Oryctolagus cuniculus: one gene and its partner. The protein of the gene in region 2 purifies or fractionates together with the protein of the main gene of each other region. This does not show direct contact. Links are inferred from orthologs where the notes say so. Each region holds a gene or a part of one and is shown on either strand. Other genes may lie near its edges.

Region 1 (10,145 bases), on a different chromosome or scaffold from region 2:
TGCTTTGGTTAGCTCAGAACTTTACCAAGGATTGATCACCATTCTGAATTGTCACCTCACAGCTGGCAACTCCTCTTGTGGGATATGAGCCTCAATCTGCATTTGTAGCAGTCATATTCAGTGATTCTATATAGCAACACCTGACAATTTCGTTCTATGCTTTAAAGTATCCACATATTTACTGGTATTTCCTTTTATTATTCCTTTACATTTCAGTTTGGCCAATTTTTATATATTATATATTTTTACATATACAGGTGTGTGTGTGTTTGTGTGTGTAGATACATATATACTCATACATGCACACAAATATATATATACATATACACACACATATATATTTTAAATCATATAAATTAACTTGCATATAACTTTTAAGAAAACAAATGGTGTGATCAAAATATTTATTGTCAAAGGGGGTTTGGAGCCAGAAAGGTTTAAGACCACTGCTGTGGTGGTCTGGCAATAATGACCAAAGCCTGAAAATGCATTAAGTTACCCTATCACTATGAAATCTGCATGGGATATGCAAAGTCACTTTAATGAGACAATAGTTCCAGGCTATGGTCTGAAAGAAAGCTTGTAGGAAGAGGAAGGAACTGAAATGTCAAGGGACCTTATTCATCTGGCAACTTTGCACCTAAAGCACAGCTTTTGCAGATTCTGCGAGGAGCTACACTGAAACTCCAATATATTACTTTCAAGATATGTACATGGCAGGTTAAGCCTCCACCCACGTCACTGGCATACCATAAAGGCGTCAGTTTGAGTCTCAGCTGCTCTACTTCTAATCCAGCTCTCTGTTAATGGCCTGGGAAAGCACTGGATGATGGCCCAAGTGCTTGGGCCCCGGCACCCATGTGGGAGACCCAGAAGAAGCTCCTGGTTCCTGGCTTCAGACTGGCACAGCTCTGGCTGTTGCAGCAATCTGGGGAGTGAACCAGTGGATGGAAGATCTCTCTCAGTCTGTCTCTCTCTCCCTGACTCTCCCTTTCTGTCTGTAACTCTGCTTCCCAAATGAAAATAAGTAAATCTTTTTTTTTTTTTTTTTTGACAGGCAGAGTAAGACAGTGAGAGACAGAGAGAAAGGTCTTCCTTTTTCCGTTGGTTCACCCCTCAAATGTCCGCTACTTCTGGCGCGCTGCACCGATCTAAAACCAGGAGCCAGGTGCTTCCTTCTGGTCTCCCATGCGGGTACAGGGCCCAAGCACTTGGGCCATCCTCCACTGCACTCCCGGGCCACAGCAGAGAGCTGGACTGGAAGAGGAGCAACCGGGACAGAATTCAGTGCCCCAGCCAGGACTAGAACCCGGGGTGCTGGCGACGTAGGCGGAGGATTAGCCAAGTGAGCAGCAGCGCCGGCCAGTAAATATTCTTTTTTTTTTTTTTTTTTTTTTTGACAGGCAGAGTGGACAGTGAGAGAGAGAGACAGATGGCCACCGTGGCCGGCGCGCTACGGCCAGCCCATCGCGCTGATCCGAAGCCAGGAGCCAGGTGCTTCTCCTGGTCTCCCATGCGGGTGCGGGCCCAAGGACCTGGGCCATCCTCCACTGCACTCCCGGGCCACAGCAGAGAGCTGGCCTGGAAGAGGGGCAACCGGGACAGAATCCGGTGCCCCGACCGGGACTAGAACCCGGTGTGCCGGCGCCGCAAGGCGGAGGATTAGCCTAGTGAGCCGCGGCGCCAGCCCAGTAAAATCTTATTAAAAAAAAAAAAATGTACATGATAAAGAAATGCAGAATTAATTAATTTACTACTGACCTTAACCACAGGTAAGTCAAAGACTTCCCGAGCTTCTCCAACCTCTGGATTGTCCCCATCCTCTGAAATTATGTGTGAGGCTAATGCATTGTAGGAGACTTCCTTGGCTTTTCCAGCTTTCAGAAGCTGAATAACCTAAAAAGCAAAAATATCCAAGTTAAAATGGAAAATATCAGGCTACTTTAATTTATAAAAGTAATTATTGGAAAATACACCATATTCCCTGCATAGAATTAACAGCATTTTACTCTGAATAATTTAGGGACGACAACAACAACAACTACAAAACCAGCAAATCCTAATTCATCAACAAGTAGAGGCTCTTGCAGGCCAGTAGCTAGGTAAGCCCATCCTTGAGACAGAGCTGCACAGACACTCCTGAATCTCCAGCTGAAAGGTAGGGGGCGGGTAGTTTCACTGTAACTGGGGAAACTTTCCAGATGAGGAGATAGTCATATTTGAGTAGAGTCCTTAGAAATGTAGTAACTGTCAGTCAAGCAAAATATATTCATGTGAGCAGGGAACAACATCCAAGTTCTGGGACAAGTCTTTGATACATACGATCAGACCATCAATATTTCTTATGTGTTATAAAAAAAAAAGAAAGTGCAGTTCATTTCCAGCTATCCACATGAGCCAGGGGATAGCACGGAAGTGGCAGATTATATAGGAAGATTATACAGAGAGATTATATAGATGGACGACCACAAAAGAAAGCACTGGGGTGGCAGGAGATCAATAAGGAGGCAACTAACTGCACTAAACAATGTCACTAGGAAGAAGGAAGATGTAAGAAAATTAGCAAGACGTGGTGACTGGAGGGGGTACAGGCCAAGATGGAAATGCTGGGAATTAGGGTACCACACACTGAGGGATGCCAAAGGAAAAGTACAAGGAGGGGACAGCCAGCACAAGCTGTAGTGTGGGCTACACTGCTCTTTGCCACCATGCCGAACATCTGGCAAGAAGCATCCTTTTATGTAGCAAAGGATTGGTGCTTTCCTGATTGGGTATCCTCAGCATAACAGAACATAGCCAAGGCTCTGAGGGAATGAGATCCCTCCCGGTGTGTAGTGCGCAGGTGAACTGAAGGTTACATACTAGCAATTCTTCAGGCACAGGAAGAGTACTCAACCTGCCAGCAGAGCCAAGGAAGCGGAGGGATGCGCAACAGCAGAGTAATATGCAACTGAAAGTACACAAACATGAATGCGACAGGGTGCCCAGAGAGCTAAAATGAGTGACCTTTAGTATCTTATTGATCAGCAGATACGTACAAGAGAGGCCAGATCTTTGTTTTAGCCCCCTCACTTTTCTTTCTTCCCTTGACCCCCAAGCCTCGTCAGCTTTACACGTCCATGCGACAGACCTACCTACCCCTCTTTTTATTACCTTCCAGTCTGACCCTATTGCCTTTTTATGAGTCCTGAGATTCCACCCTCTCCGCCTCCACAGCTATGCCGCCCCACACCCTTACTGCAGATGCATGCAACCCAGATCCTCCCCTGGCCCTTTATCTTCCTCTATTCCCTTCTCCGCTTCTCACAACAAATTCCCTGAAACCAGCCTAACCTTTTTGCCTTCATTTCCCAATTACTCTTCAACTCTCTGCAGTTGTGCCACTTCCCTCAACACTGAACATCAGCACCACCAACTACTAGAAACTGACTCAATTTTCATGAACTTTGAGGATGCCAAAAGTAATAGCTTCTTTTCAACCTCCATACTACTGAATCTCTAGATTACCAATTGATCTCATGTGGCTCATGTGATCACCCTGATGTATTAAAATTGTACTAAAAATGTATTAAAAATACATTGCTTTTTTCATTCTTCAGCACATACAAAGAAAAGTCTTTCAACTTTTTAACTTCTGTTTACCTTAAGACCTAACCGAAATGGCACCTATCTAATGACATTTCAGTGGTCTTATCCACATCCCAGCAGAGAAACCTGGTCTTGCAGCATCCACCAATGTGCTCAGGTGTGCTCCCTCCTCCAGCAATATGAGGAGTCCTCAAAAACAGCTACCATGTCGTCATTTTATTACACCTGGTACCTAGTCCAAAGCCTGACACGTACTAGATGTTTAATACATGTGAACTTTCAAATCCATGTTTACAACATTCAGAAAACCAGAAATTCTGGCTCTAAAAATTTTTAAAAATATACTATTTGTCGGCCAGCACTGTGGCGTAGCCGGTAAAGCCACCACTTGCAGTGCTGTCATCCCATATGGGTGCCAGTTCGAGTCCTGGCTGTTCCTCTTCCGATCCAGCTCTCTGCTATGGCCTGAGAAAGCAGTGGAAGATGGCCCAAGTCCTTGAGCCCCCTGCACCCACGTGGGAGACCCAGAAGAAGTTCCAGGCTCCTGCCTTTGCATAGGTGCAGCTCCAGTCATTGCGGCCATCTGGGGAGCGAACCATCGGATGGAAGACCTCTCTCTCTCTCTGCTCTGCCTCCCTGTAACTCTACCTTTCAAATAATAAACAAATCTTCAAAATATATATATACTATTTCAGAAGCCAGTATCGTGGCAGAGCGGCCCAAGCCACTGCCTGTGATGCTGGCAACCCAAATGAGAGTAGGTTTGAGTCCCAGAACTTGTGCCCTTGCCACCCACATGGGAGACCCGGATGGAGTTCCAGATTCTTAGCTTCAGCCAATCCATCCCAAGGCTGTTGCAGCCATTTGAGGAGTGAAGCAGTGGATGGGAAGATCTCTCTGTCTTTCTTGGAAACTGCCTTTCAAATAAATAAATCTTAAAACATATATACTGTTTCTGGCAAAGGGGTTTGCCAAGGACAATTTTAAGCCCCTAGATCTGAGAAACCAGAGTTCTGGTTCAGTTTGTTCCAGGTTTTAAGTAACATTTGGCTCAAGAACCCCCAAAGACCCAAAGTCCTAAAATCAAACAGGAAGGGGAAGGGAGAGAGCGGTGGGCAGTGACTACAGGAAGACACTTCTATCTTACAAGTACTCATTTGGATCACACTGGGTTCAGCACTTGTCTAACTCTTCAGATTCGAAGCCATCAGTGTCTTGACCCTAGTTACAGAGGAAAAAGCATCCAAGGGAGTTTAGTTTCTAAGAAGCCCAGTATAAGCCTTTAGCAGGCCAAGGCCAATCAGCCTTCCACAAGTCTTCCGGTAGGAGCCAAGTTTATCGCTCAATAGTTGTGTCCCCCACCCAATGCCTAAATTCTGATCATTCGGCATCCCTGCAGGGTTAGCCCTGCTGATGGGACACCCAAAGCAACATAACTGCCCCCTGAAACTTCCGAAAGGAAGTGGTCTGAAGACTGACCTGGAGGTAATACTCAACTAGGAGCCATTCCTACCATGGACGAGCAACAGCCCGATGATTAAACAGATAATATTACTTAGGAGAACCCACACTACCCTCCGGCGTGTGAGAAAATGAAAATGCTCAAAGCGATCGCATTACCAGGGTATCTTCCACACTTCTGGTATAATTCACCAGATTAGGAAAATCAAGGACTAGCAACGCCGGCCCCCACATGTGAGGACGCAGGCTGCTGCGTGCCGTGAGCGCTCTCAGCACCGCACAGGACTGGAGCTGCCTGGCAGAAAGCTACACCGCCCAGGAGCCCCTGTCCTCACCTGTCTCCTAGTGCACCCTCAAACCAGCTCGCCTCAAGCTAAGACCACAGAGGCGGCCAGGGTGAGGATGCACTGCAAAGTGGACTACGCTCCCCAGAGAGGCACAGGACACCCAGGGCCGAGGCGGCGGCCGAGCACGGGGCTCCCCCCGCCCCAAAAGGACACTGCTCCAGGCAGGTGGGAGACTGGGACGGTCAGCACCGCGGCGCCAAGCCCGGGCTAGGGGTTCTGGGATTGGAGCGGGGGCAACCCCCGCCGGGGCCGGCGGCCGCACGAGGGGCCGAGGCCAAAGCCCCTCCGTCGCCCCGTCCCCTCCCCCCACACCCCCGCCGCAGGCCCCCGTCCCCTCCCCCTCGGCCGCACAGGGCCCAAGCCGGCGCCTCGCTGCCCCCTGCCCCCGGCGCAGCCAAGGCCGGCGGCCCTCGGCGGGACCTCGGCGGGCCCGACGTTCAGCGCCCGGGCGCGCGCGCCCGCGGCGGAGCGGGGACGGGACGGGGACGCGGACGCAGAAGGAGGCCACGGCGGCGCGGGCGCGGTACCTGCGGGTCGATGTCGCCCACCGCGTAATACTTGACCTCCCTGAACATCTCCTCAGGAACTTTGGGAGCCTGGTCCGACATGATCGCGGCAGCCCGGAAAGGCTCCGCAGCGGCGCCCGGCCCCGCCCACCCACCCACCCCCGGCCCCCGCGCGGCCCGCAGCAGCCGGTACCCCCACTCGCTCCACCAACGGCCCGGCCCGCGCGGCCCCGGCCCGGTCCAGCGAATCGGGGCCCGCTCCCCCGCCCTCCGCGCCCCCGCCCGCGCCGAGCGCCCGAAGCGCGGGAGCCGCGCGCGCCCTGCGGGACGCACCACCTCGCCCTGGCCGCCGAGGGGAAGCTGCGAGAAGCTGCCTGGCAGCCGCGCCGCCCAGGGCCTCCGCCGCAGTTCGCAGCTCTGGGGGTGATGGCATCCTAGAGCCCGTTCTACAGACGGGAGGTCCGTGACCGCCACTCTCCAATAAGGGGTCCCGGGGACTTGGGGATGCCCGCCTTCCCTCCCCCCCCCGGGATGAGCTGGAGTGAGCCAGTCCGGGGAAAGAAGGGAATGGGGCGGCCCCTCCCGTCACCACACGCGGCCGCTCCGGGCGGCGCATGCGTGCACCCAGAGGGGCGGGGCCACGGGGCTAGTGGCTGGGTTGGGGGCAGGAGCGGAGTCGCGCGGCGGTCTGTGGCCTGCCCGGTTCCCTGTGGTGCCGGGAGCTCGTCTGGACCTAGGGTGATTCCTCAACCGCTCGCGGCCAGGGCTAGGCTGTGCGGGCCCGAGTTCCCTCAGGCACGGGGTTCCGGAGGCCGGGCGCTCCCGGGAGGCGCATCCCAGCTGCGGGTAAAGAGGGCTTGGGCCTGCAGGGCGAGGGCGGCCGGGTGGCGTCTCGCGCGGGCTCTGTCAGAGCGCGCTGGCAGTCCGTCAGCTCCGCTGTGCCCCGACGCAGGCTCCGGTGCTGATGGCGTCGGTCGATGCTGGAGAGAAATTCTAGAACTCAGACCCCCGGGTGTGGGGCGCCAGTCACCCCAGGGGGAGACGGCCGCGAGCCCCCGAAAGCGCAGCGCGAGACGGGGAAGACTGGATGTGATGATTTTAGTGATCCTCTGTGTGTTACAGCTAATCCCTTCCTTTCCCAGCCATAACCGCACCGTACCGAGTGGCTTCGTGTTCATCTCCCCGAGACAGCTTTATGCTAAAAGGCCATGATGGTGGGTGCAGGCTTTCCGCTGTCCCAACAAACCAGAAAATTGTTTTTTTTTAAATGTCTTTCAAACGTAAGGTCCCCCACTAAAAGTTGGTGTGGTTCATTGATGAGCATGCAGTGTATACTGGCTTTGTTAATCAGATGATTACGGTTGTCGTTTTCCTTACATTTGCGTATAATAAATGATTTGGGGTAGACAGAAAGAAAGCAGCACACATTAAAATACACATAATATTTTATCCCTAATGTTTTCTGGTCTTTTTTTTTTTTTTTTTGAAGATTTATTTATTTATCCAAAAGAGTTACAGAGAGAGAGAGAGAGAGGTCTTCCATCCACTGGTTCACTCTCCAGTTGGCCACAACGGCCGGAGCTGTGCCGATCCGAAGCCAGGAGCTTCTTTCAGGTCTCCCTTACGGGTGCAGGGGCCCAAGGACTTGGGCCATCCTCTACTGCTGTCCCAGGCCATAGCAGAGAGCTGGATTGGAAGTGGAGCAGCCTGGACTCGAACAGGCGCCCATATGGGATGCCTGCCCTGCAGGCCAGGGCTTTACCCTCTATGCCGCAGCGCCGGCCCCAATGTTTTCTGTTTCTTTAACCTTTGCATTTCTCTCACGAACAGTCGGAAACAGCCCTACTCTATGGCTAAGAAATTTCCCTTACAAATAGTAAAATCATGGAGTGCTGGCCTACAGGAATTAACTAAGAAGTTATCATGCATTTTAAGATCTTTATGACATCCCTCTATAATCAGAAAAATCTTTGAATTCCCAAGAGTATACTTGATATTGACCATTATACCATTTTATGTTCCGTGTTAAGAAAATGTCAGTGCAATAAACTGTACTTCCAAATATAGAACATATGCCTTTTTATTGGCACGTGTAAGAGAACGCATTCAGCCTTTTGGTTTTCCAAGTTAAACACAAAACTGAGCATGACATTTTATGTTAAAACACTTGAAGCAGACCTCACACAGGTATTGTGTGAGTTAAGAAAGCAATTTGTGGCCGATGCCTTGGCTCACTAGGCTAATCCTCCGCCTTGCAGCGCCAGGTTCTAGTCCCGGTCGGGGCGCCGGATTCTGTCCCAGTTGCCCCTCTTCCAGGCCAGCTCTCTGCTATGGCCCGGGAGTGCAGTGGAGGATGGCCCAACTGCTTGGGCCCTGCACCCCATGGGAGACCAGGAGAAGCACCTGGCTCCTGCCTTTGGATAGGCGTGGTGCGCCGGCCGCGGCAGCCGTTGGTGGGTGAACCAACGGCAAAGGAAGACCTTTCTCTCTGTCTCTCTCTTACTGTCCACTCTGCCTGTCCAAAAAAAAAAAAAAAAGGCAATTTGTTTAAAAAAATTTTTTTTTTAATAAAGCAGTTTGTAGGGGCAGGCATTTAGCACAGTGGTTAAAACCTTGCCCGGGACGCCTGCATCCTAATCTGACGTGTCTGCTTCCATTCCTGGCACCAGTTCTAATCCTGCTCCCTGATAGTGTGTACCCTGGGAGTCAGCACATGCTGGCTTGAACACCACTCAAGTCCCTGCCACCCACGTGAAAGGCCCAGAACCAGTTCCCAGCTCTTGACTGCAGCTCAGCCCAGCCATGGCTGTTGCAGGCATTTGGGAAATGTGCCAGGAGATGGAAGATACCTATCTCAGGTCTATCAGCCTTTCAGTTAAAATAGAAAAGAAAAAAAGCAGTTTGTAATATTAAGCATGACAGTTTTACCTTCGAGTGCTAGTGGGCACATTGTGGATTTACTGCTATTTAAAATCCCATCAACCTGGGGTCAGTGCTGTGGCTCACTTGGTTTAGCCTCCACCTGCGGCGCCGGCATCCCATATGGGCACTGGGTTCTAATCCCAGTTGCTCTTCCAGTCCAGCTCTCTGCTGTGGCCTGGGAAGGCAGTGGAGGATGGCCCAGGTGCTTGGGCCCCTGCACCAGCATGGGAGACCAGGAAGAAGCACCTGGCTCCTGGCTTCGGATCGGCGTAGGTCTGGCCGTAGCAGACATTTGGGGAGTGAACCAACGGAAGGAAGACCTTTCTGTCTCTCTCACTGTCTATAACTCTACCTGTCAAATAAATATTAATATTAAATATTAAAAAAAATCCCATCAGCCTGTCAGAATTTGTTAAATGTCATAAGCGGGGCAATGTCAGTGTGGTATATACAGTGAGTCTTACAGCACTAGTGTCAGCAAGACTTGGAGGCAGAGTCACACAGAACACTCCTCAGAGTCTCAACAACTACGGCTTCTTGGCCAATAATGGAAAAATCAAAGTTATTTTCACTTGGATAATAGATATTCCCATTAAGTCTAAAAAGTTGACATTCTGAAGTTATGGGGAGAAAAAAGTGTACCAGAGGACTTAAAGGTGACCAACTTGTAAAGGTAAACAGTGAAAATAGCTTTTAGCAGAAGATAAAATGTCCATATGTCTGCACAGATAAATAGGTAATTCGTACTCTTATGACTCAAGATGACCCCCATCAGGGTAATAATACCAGTTCATTAAACAGAAGCTTTGCATTTCTTTTCTATAGCTCATGCATGTGCCACCCCCAAATATAACACTTCTCCCGAGGAGATTCAAAGCACATGAAAAGGATAGAATACTTATGTCAGAGGCACAGGCAGGCTCAAGATCTATGGCAAAAGCAACTGAGAACCCAAAGGACATTGTCAGTGGGCAGGATTGGCCAGTAGTGATTTAGCTATTTCATGTAAAAAAATCTAGAAAGCACAAGAAAGGAAAGTGTAAATTACTCCCCCCCCAGTCCTGTACCCATAAGCAACCACTACTGAAATCCTTCCAGACATTGTCATATATTTTAGTTCTTCAGGGTCAGTAATTAATAGGCTCTATGCTTAGTACCCCATTCTTTGTACCAAAATTTAGTTTGGTATTGTTGCACATTTGTTTCCAGTTTTAACAGTTGTGTACAATGCTACAATGAAGAGAGGTAGTTTTAAAACTGCATATAATGTATTGTTCTGTCCTATTCTTTAAGTTAGAACCTGTCCCATATCTCATTTAGC
Region 2 (10,117 bases):
TTCTTAAATGACTAGGATTTTTTAATGGGCCATCGTGGGGAGAGGGTGCTTCTCTCTTCCTCCCATCAGGTTGAGGCATGGGCCTTGCATCTGGGGGTCCCCAGGGTGTGGGGGTAGGGGTGGGGGTGGGGACCAGCTCCGGGGCTTCCATTTGCAAAAGGGGATTAAAGAAAGAATATTGCTTAACCATGGCTCTGGCTTGATTTGTGTTTAACGGGTTTGGGAATGGGAGTGGGAGAGTAGAACTTGGTTCATTCTGTCCCAGTAGTCTGGGCTCCAGTTTTAATAATATCCTGTGTCTACCTAAGACTCGCACTAATAATGATTAACAATAATGATTATCATTATAGATAAAATCTATTGAGCATTTAATGTGTATTAGACTCTACGCTGAGCACTTTAAATATGAAGATTCTGGCCTGGGAAAGCAGTAGAAGATGGCCCAAGTCCTTGGGTCCCTGCACCTGCATGGAAGACCCAGAAGAAGCTCCTGGCTCCTGGCTTTGGTTCGGCGCAGCTCCAGTCATTGCAGCCAATTGGGGAGTGAACCAGTGGATGGAAAACCTCTCTCCCCCTTTCCTCTCTCTGTATAACTCTGACTTTCAAATAAATAAATAAATCTTTAAATATGAAGATTCTTACGTAACCTTCATTACAAACCTCATGAGGTAGGTAATGATATTATTCCAATTTTACAGATGGGAAACGGCAGAAGAGTGTAAGAGGTTTGTCTAACATTTCTCATGTATTAAAGTACAAGAATTTGGATTCAGTCTCAGGATGTCCAACCCCAGAGTTTGTGCTCTTAGACAACTCCACATCCACTAAGTAAACAATGAAGTTATAATGTATACCTCGTATACTATATGTATCAAATACCGGTTATTCATTCATGCATGCATCCATCTATGGTATTTCAGGCACTTTCTTAGGCACTGGAGATTCAGATTATGCACTGACCATGACAAATTATTTTTTACAGGGTTGGTAGTCTACAGAATAGTCAAACATTAAAGAAATAAGCACAAAGATAATGGAGTTAGTTGCCACCACCATAAGCTCTATGAAGGCTACTATGAGAATGGTTAATCAGAAAGTTGATGTAGATTGGGGATGAGCAAGCCCTCCTTGAGAATTTCAAGACAATGAGAGAGAGGGTGAGAGACCTTTCATCCACTGGTTCACTCCCCAAATGGTTGCAACAGTTGGGGCTGGGCCAGGCTGAAGCCAGGAGACAGGAGCTTCTTCTGGGTCTCCCACAAGGGTGCAGGGACCCAAGCACTTGGGCTATCTTCTACTGCTTTCCCAGGCCATTTAGCAGGGAGCTGGATCAGAAGTGGAGCAGCCGGGATTTGAACTGGTGCCCATTTGGGATGCCGGCACCACAGGCATAGGCTTAACCTACTACACCAAAGCACCAGCCCCTTTTTAAGGTTGAGTAATACTCCATTGAATATACCACATTTTTTAATCCATTCATCTGTTGATAGACTCTTAAATTGCTTCTACTTGTTGGCTATTGTGAGTAATGCTGTTATGAAACAGGTGTACCCATATCTGTGCAAGTCCTTGCTTTCACTTCTTTTGGATAAATATCCTGAAGTAGAATATGCTGGCTCATATGGAAATCCTTTGTTTAACTTTTTGAGAAACTGCCCAACTGTTTTCCATGGTGGATACACCATTTACATTGTTACCAACAATGCATGATGGTTCCAATTTCTCACATTTTTAACAAAACTTGTTATTTTCTCCCTTTTATGCATAATAGCTAACCTAATGAGTATGAAGCAGTATCCCATTATGCTTTAGACTTGTACTTCCCTGATGACTAGTAAGGTTGAGCATCTTTTCATATGCCTATTAGCCATCTGTACATTTTCTTTGGAGAAATGTCTTTTCCAAGTCCTTCTCCTGTTTTTAAATTGAATTTTGTTGTTGAGTTTTTGGAAACGTTCAGAGCTTTGCTAGCTCTAGAAATTTCTGTTGGGCTTGAAGATGTGTGGATGACATCCAGTCAGCCTCTGGGTTAGCTGTTGGCAGGACCCCTGTCTCCACACCATGAAGTAACCGAAGTTTCACTTAGTCTTTCAGATTACTTAATCAAGCAATTCATTAATTGTATTATCCAAATAGTCACTCTTTTTTTGGTTATGTCTGATTTCCAGGCTAACACAAAAGAGCAATTGCCATATGCTTCTTTTCATAATAAGTTCAACAACTGTCAATGTTTGTGGTGCTGGAGGTCAGAACACCCCTGACTTCTGGGGAAACATGGACGGGGACAAAAGGGAGCTTTCTGGACTGATAACTGGGTCTGTGCCCTGGAAATATGGGATCATTGGTAAAACATTTAGTAGATATGGACTTAAGATTTTTGCATTTTACTGTATACAGATTATACCTCAGTTTTTGAAAGTTAAAAGAAGAAAAAACTATCAAAATTTTTTTTTTCCAGGCCCCAGGTTCTTTCTAAATCCATCTGGTTAATTTTGTAGACCCAAAAGTCTAAAGTGCCCTCTTGTGGCTGCCTGTGGTTCTCTTTGGGTATCTGCTCTCTTGGGTGTAGTCCCTAGCAGGGCACCTAGGGTCCACACACACACATGGAATACTCACTGAGCACCTACTCAGTGCCAGGCACCGTGCTGAGTGCTGAGGAAACAAAACAGACGGGGCTCCCCTTTCATGTAGACCACAGTGAACTGGCACAGGCGTAGTAACCTACTGCATTCTAATTAAGGACAAGTGCATGGCATAAGAGAACTTGTCTGGGGAGCGGTCAGTGAAGGCTGCCTTGGAGTAGCCATGTTTGAGCCAGGATCGAAGGCTGATGAGTTAGCTATCTACCTGGGGAGAGCGTGGAGTGTGCAAGGGTCCCGAGAAGGGAGTGCAATGTGCCAAACAGGTCACTGGAGTGGCAACCCAAAGAGCAGAAGGGAGCCCTGAGACAAGAATGGAAATGCGGGGTAGAAAACAGGTACTCGTTTACCCTTAGAGCAATGTGGAACCATCAACAGTTTTAAGTAGGGGAGTGACACGGCCAGATTTCTGAGGTAGAAGCTTCGACAACAAAGTGGGTGATAGGCTGGAAGTGGGCCAGGATGGGTGTGAGGCCATTTGGTGGCTACTGCATTAGTGCAAACGCCCAGTGGGTGCTCAAGACCCGTCTGTGGAATGAAAGGGTTCCCCAGTCCCTTTTGTTAGATGGGACCCCATGACTGAGCAGCTCCCACAGTTCACAGCCCACTTGCTCAGTCTCCAGTCTTCCCTGATGCACAGACCCCCAACTTCCACATTACAGATGAGGAAGGCGAGGTCCAGAGAGGCAGAGAAAGTCCAGGAGGCCTCTGTGCCACGGGGATGCCTGGCTACACCTGGGGGAGGGGAGGGTGGCACTCATTCACTCAGGAATTCTGTCCACTGAGCTTGCTGGCGAGATGGTGGTGACGGCACAGGGTCGAAACTCACAGGCAAGTAACGGTAACGACCGTTCTCTTTCTCAGTTAATGCCAAGCACCGTGCCAAGCGCTTCATCTCCGCTTTGCAAGCATTATTATTATCTCCAGATTTCAGTTGGGTAAACTGAGGCTCGGAGAGTTGCCATGTCCCAGGACACTCAGCCAGAGCGCGGCAAGGAGCTGCGCAGCGCTTCCAAGGTGGGAGCCACAAGCGAAGCGACTACCGGAAGCAGACGCGGACCCGCGGGATCCAGATTTTAAGCCCCGGGCACCCAATTGAGCGGGTGCGCGCTCCACGCGCTCCCGGGGACGTTTGGTCACGTGTGCAGGGCCCCGCCCCCTCGGGCCCGCCCCGCCCCCTCCCGCGCTCCCTCCCTCTCTCCCTCCCTCCCCCTCCCTCCCTGGCCCGGTCCGGCCCATCCCCCTCCCCGCCGGCTCCCTGAGGCCCTGCCGGGTCGGGCTGCGGGCGGCCGGGCGCCGACGGCAGGACAGACGGGCGCACGAGAGGACGGACGGACGGACGCACGGAGGGCGGCGGGCACGCACGGCCCGGGCCGGCGCTCCGAGGCCCGCCCGGGAGGGCCGGGGCCGCGCTCAGGTGAGGCGACGGCGACGCGGGCCCGTAAGGGGTGGGCCCGCCCGCCCGGCGTCCGCGGTCTCGGCCTGGCTGGCTTCGCGGGGAGGAGGTGCTGCCCGGGCCCGGCGCGGGAAAATGGCGCCGGGCGGTCGTGCGGCACGGCCCGAGTGCGGGCCCGGCCCGGAGCCGCCCCGCCCGCCCGCCGCGCTCGTGTCCCCGTCGCCATGTTGGGGAGCGGGCCCCGGGCCTGCGGGCGGGGGCGCTGGAGGGAGCGGCGGCCCGGCCGAGGCTGGGGAGGGTGCGGGACGTGGGGTTCGGGGCGTCGAGGGAGTGCAGGGCTGGCCGGGGTCTGCACGGGGTGGCGCTCCAGGCCCAGGGAACTGGCAGGGGCCGGACTTGGGGTCGAGGCTAGGATCGCGAAGAAGGGACACTGGATCCGAACGGAACCGGGGTCGGAGGTCCCTGGGCTGGGGGGATGGCAGGACGTGGAGCCGTGTTAGGCCGTGGCGGTGTTCAGACCCCCAGGGCAGGTAGGCGGTGTGGGGGCCCAGCTCAGGCTGTCAGGGCTGGAGCTGGTCTTTGCAGGGAGGGGAGGGGAGGGGAGGGGAGGAGAGGAGGTGATTGATTAGAAATGGGGGCCTTTTTGCTACAGATGAATGTATCAAATTGGGGCAGTCCTGGGATCTTGGGGACAGAATTGCAAGCCCCTGTAACTCTTAAGGGATTAAGGACTTTTGTGTCCCACGGAGCCTTCACCTCATTTTGAGGGGAGCATCATAAAAACGGAAGAGTTGATGGGGAGAGAAAAGGAGGGCTGTGGTTTGAGGGCAGGAGCTGGCCAGCAGAAGGGGGTGCAGAGAGTGGAACTGCTTGGCAAGAAGGGAGAGAACCTCCATCAACTTATGGAGTTGTGTGTATCTTTAAAAGGAGGGACCAGGCTGTTTGGAGGTGGTGACCCAAGGTGTCTTCACAGGAAGGGGACAGCCCACTGCTTAAGAGCAGGGTCACCTGGGGAGGTCATCAAAAAGGTCTTAATTGAGCCAGTAAGAATGGTACAGAAGAGTAAATATGTAAAAGCTACAACGGCCTCCGAGCTCATGGGATACTTTTCAGATCTTGTCGTGGCTTTGGCTTCCCTGAGATCTTAGGAGTTCAGTGGCAGAGGGGCTCCTGGACGTGGTTGTGCTTCCTCCTCATTCGCTCATTGTCTTGAGGGAATTTGCTTGCTGGAAGAATAGTGTTAAGCATATATCATGGAACTGTTAAGCATTTGTTTTATTTTTGTAAGGAGTTTGTACAAAGTCTGAGGGGGCTTCCAAAAAGAATAACTAACCAGCTATTTGATATATCAGCGCTCACCTCCATTTGTGCAAAGAAGTTATCTTCAAAATCCTCTCATTTTCTTCCATTTTAGTAGGTGAACCTTCTCTTCTTCCTGTTTACTGTACAGCAAAGGAACACAAAAAACTAAGAAACAACAATGAACAAGGATAGCGATCCAGAATCTCATGTTCAAACTGTAATTGATGGTCCATCACCGTAGGCAAGAGTTCAAAGTTTACATGAACTGTGAGGAGACTTCTGAAGGAAACCTTGTGTTTCAGTCATGATATCCAGTGGGTGCTCCATTCCTGTGGGTCCACACTTGTGGATTCAACAACCACCAATTGAAAATATTTAGGAAGATACATTGTATCAGTACTGAACATGCACAGGCTATTTTTTTGGTCATGCTTCCCCAGATGGTACAGTGTAACTATATGTACATAGCATTTACATTGTATTAGGTACTATAAATAACATAGAGACAATTTAAAATATAGGAGAGGACATGTGTAGGTTATATGCAGATACTATGCCATTTTATAAGAGACTTGAATTAGCCTTGAATTTTGGTATTGGGGGAGGGAGACCGTCTTTCACTGAAACTAAGGGACAACCATGTAATCAAAAAGGACTTTCAACAAAGAGGTGATGAAGGCATTCATAACATAGGATTTTCAATGCTGTATGTATGTACAACACAATCCGTTTTTTCTAGATTTTTCTAAGGCAGGAGGCCTGACCTTATGTGTGCCGTGGGACCTTTTACTATTTGGCGAGGTTTATTAAACCTCTCAGAAAAAATATTTTTATTTGTATAAAGTATATTAGATTACAGAGAAAACCAATTATTTGAAATGCAATTATCAAAATATATAAATTATGATAAACTAATACAAGCAAGTATGTGAGGAGGTGGGTGTATGTGTATACATACTTCTTTATCAGCACATTAATGAATTAGATCTGGGGGCTGGTGTGGTGGCACAGAAGATTAAGCCACTACCTGCAACATCGGCATCCGCTATCGCACTGCTGGTTCAAGTCCTGGCTGCTCTGCTTCCAGTTCAGCTCCCTGCTAATGTAACTGGGAAAGTAGTGCAGGATGGCCCAAGTTCTTCAGCCTCTGCCACCTACATGGGAGACCCAGGCAGAGTTCTAGGTTCCTGCCTTCAGGCTGGCCCAACCCTGGCCACTGCTACCATTTGGGAAGTGAGCCAGACAATGGAAGACCTCTCTTACTGCCTGTGCTTCCCTCTTTGTCATTCTGCTGTTCAAACAAATAAAGTAAACCTTGCAAAATAAAGTGAAGAATTAAAAAACAAAAAAATTAGATCTTGTGGGGGTGGATCTGATAATTATAATTTCAAAGACATCATGAGCATAAACAATATGTCAAGATAGCTGTAACAATTGTGATACAATATATACATATGAGGGTATTTCAAAAAGCTCCTGGAAGGGACCAGCATTGTGGCAATGCAAGCTATGCTAATGCCTGCAAAGCCAGCATCCCATGTGAATGCTGGTTTGAGTTCTGGCTGCTCCAGTTCCAATCTAGTTCCCTGCTAATGTGTCTGGGAAAGCAGTGGAAGATGGACTTGGTACCTGGGTCCACGCCCCAACATGGGAGACCTACATGAAACTCCTGGCTTTGGTTTGACCCAGCCCCGGCCATTGCAGCCATTTGGGGAGTGAATCAGTGGATGGAAGATCTCTCTCCTTGTCTGTGTCTGTCTGTCTGTCTGTCTGTCTACCCCTCTCTCCCTGTATCTCTGCCTATCAAATAATAAAATCTTTATATAAAGAAAAGCTTCTGGAAAATGAAATTAAAGCAGTTATTTTGGTGCAAAAAAAATTTTAGAGAGTTATTTCAAAGGCAAAATGACAGAGGGAGGAAGAAGGGAGAAAATGAGAGGGGGGAGAGAGAGATAGCTCGTCCATCTGTTGCTTCAGTCCTCACATGGCCCCAAGAGACAGGTCTGAGGAGCCAGGAACACCATCCTGATCCTCTACATAAGTGGCAGAGGCCCAGGTACTTGAACTGTCATCCACTGCCTTCCCACTTAGGTTAGCGGGAAGCTGGATTGGGAATAGAGCAACTAGGACTTGAACCAGCACTCTGATATGGAATGCTTGCATCACAAGTGACAGCTTAACTGGCTGTGCCACAATGCTGGCCCAAGTACAAAAAATTTTGGAATCCTTGTGTAGTTTTTTTATAATATACATTTCCACATATTATGAAAAATAATTTGCACCAAAACATGCATTTAATTCCATTTTTCCATGAACTTTTTGAAGTACCATCGAATTTGTGATTGCTGTTGTTAGAGTCACAGGTACTGCTAATACTAGAATGATTTGTTACCTATGTTCATATTTGAATAAAATGGTAACTTTCCATTAGAGGTTAGTGTAAGTAAAGGTCTTTTATAGATCTGAGTTCACAGACACCCCCCTATACACACACATATTCTACCTGGGGGCTCCCATTTTGTGAACCCCTATGTTCAAAAACCCTACTTCTGAAGCCAGTGTTATGGTATAACAGGTTGAGCTGCTGCCTATGACTCCAGTATCCCTTATGGACTAGTTCATGTCCCCTCTGCTCCACATCCAATTCTACTACCTGCTAATGCTCCTGGGAAAGCAACAGAAGATAGGCCCCTATACCCAGATGGGATACTTGGAAGAAGCTCCTGGCCCTTGGCTGCTGCCTGGTCCAAGCCCTGGCTATTGCAGCTGTTTGGGGAGTGAACCAGTGGTTGGAAGATCTCTTTCTCTCTCTCCTACCCTCTTTCTCTCTAACTTCCTTTCAAATAAATCTGAAAAACAAACAAACAAAATTCCTGCCACCAAGCATGTCTTCTACTGAAAAGACATTTGCTCTGTATCAAGATCTAGTATATGTCAAGCATGATGCTAGACTGAAAGGATTGAGAAGTCTTTAAGGGTACAAGCATTTGGCCTAGTGGTTAAGATGCCTGCATCTTGGCCGGCGCCATGGCTCATTAGGCTAATCCTCGGCCTGTGGCGCTGGCACCCTGGGTTCTAGTCCCGGTTGGGGTGCCGGATTCTGTCCCGGTTGCTCCTCTTCCAGTCCAGCTCTCTGCTGTGGCCTGGGAAGGCAGTGGAGGATGGCCTAGGTCCTTGGGCCCTGCACCCCCACTGGAGATCAGGAGAGGCACCTGGCTCCTGGCTTCGGATTGGTGCAACGCGCGCCGGCCATAGCGACCACTTGTGGGGTGAACCAATGGAAAAGGAAGACCTTTCTCTCCCTCTCTCTCTCTCTTTCACTGTCTAACTCTGCCTGTCAAAAACAACAACAGCAACAAAAAAACCTAAAATCTTGAATGCCTCCCACTCAGCTGAGGATTCCATCCAAACTTGATAGCAATATATTTCAGAACCAGGTCCCCTACAACCTTCCCAGTCTCATCTCAGACTACACTTTGCTTTTTCCCCTTCTGCTTTTTAAAGTTGGTTATTTTTTGCTTTTGAAGGATAGAGTTACACAGAGAGAGGTAGAGAGATCTTGCATCTGCTGCTTCACTTCCCAAATGGCAGCAATGGCTGGACCAAGTGGAAGCTGGGACCCTGGAACTCTGCACACATTCCACCCCACCCCCACCCCCCAGGCTCATCAGCAGGGAACTGGATCAGAAATGGAACGCTTGGACACAAACCTGTGCCCATATGCATGCTTCATCCCAAGCAGTGGCTTAACCTGCTGTGCTGTAGCACTGGCCCCTGATTATACTTTACTACCACTCTGTGCTCCAGCTACAATTACATTCCCTGAAAATGTAAGTCTACCTGAAAATCTCTTCTTTCCAACTGTCACTGGCAAACCGGTTTCTTTTAAGATGCATCTCAAACATCACTCTTTCCAAAACCTTCCCTATAGGGCCAGTATTGTGGCATAGTCCTTATGGTCTGGCTGTTTCACTTCCAATCCAGCTCTGCTGGAAAGGCAGGGGAGGATGGGCCCAGTGCTTGGGCCCCTGCACCCATATGGGAGATGGGGATGGAGCTCTTGGCTTTGGCCTGGCCCAGCCCAGGCTGTTGTGGCCATTTGGGGAGTGAATTAGCAAGTGGAGGATCTCTCTCTCCCTCTGTACCTCTGACTTCCAAATAGTAAATAAATAAGTCTTTTTATTTCTTTTTCCCTTGATTCCTAGGCCTTAATGCTGGCCTCTCTATTCTATTTTTTTAATGTCTATATTATTTTTAATAATGACTGTATTGATTTACACTCCACCAACAGTATATGAAAGTTCTGCCGGCGAGCGCACTAGGCTAATCCTCCGCCTAGCGGCGCCGGCACACCGGGTTCTAGTCCCAGTCGGGGCGCCAGATTCTGTCCTGGTTGCCCCTCTTCCAGGCCAGCTCTCTGCTGTGGCCCGGGAGTGCAGTGGAGGATGGCCCAAGTGCTTGGGCCCTGCACCCGCATGGGAGACCAGGAGAAGCACCTGGCTCCTGGCTTCGGATCAGCGTGGTGTGCCGGCCGCGGCAGCCATTGGAGGGTGAACCAACGGCAAAGGAAGACCTTTCTCTCTGCTCTCTGTCTCTCTCTCTCACTGTCCACTCTGCCTGTCAAAAAAAAAAAAAAAAAAAAAGAGAGAGAGAGAGAGAAAGTTCTACTTTCTCTGCATCCTTGCCAGCATTTGTTACTTTGTCTTTTTGGTAAGAGATAGCCATTCTGACTGGAGTGAAATGATAGCTCATTGTGTTATTCATTTGCATTTGTCTGATG

The links. The genes of interacting proteins can lie anywhere in the genome.
Region 1: the proteins of NCOA6 (region 2) and PAXIP1 purify together in Homo sapiens (co-immunoprecipitation; 6 studies listed by BioGRID and IntAct, with this or other methods). This does not show direct contact. The link is inferred for Oryctolagus cuniculus from reciprocal best matches to the Homo sapiens genes NCOA6 and PAXIP1.

What each region holds. Positions count from the first base shown.
Region 1 is NC_091438.1:18,738,698-18,748,842, reverse strand, and holds the start of PAXIP1 (PAX-interacting protein 1), read right to left. Parts: upstream 6,078-10,145; 5' UTR 6,005-6,077; coding exon 5,924-6,004; intron 1,897-5,923; coding exon 1,762-1,896; intron 1-1,761.
Region 2 is NC_091442.1:23,281,499-23,291,615, forward strand, and holds the start of NCOA6 (nuclear receptor coactivator 6), read left to right. Parts: upstream 1-3,829; 5' UTR 3,830-4,056; intron 4,057-5,085; exon of another isoform or gene 5,086-5,261; intron 5,262-5,394; exon of another isoform or gene 5,395-5,477; intron 5,478-10,117. UniProt on the Homo sapiens protein: Nuclear receptor coactivator that directly binds nuclear receptors and stimulates the transcriptional activities in a hormone-dependent fashion. Coactivates expression in an agonist- and AF2-dependent manner.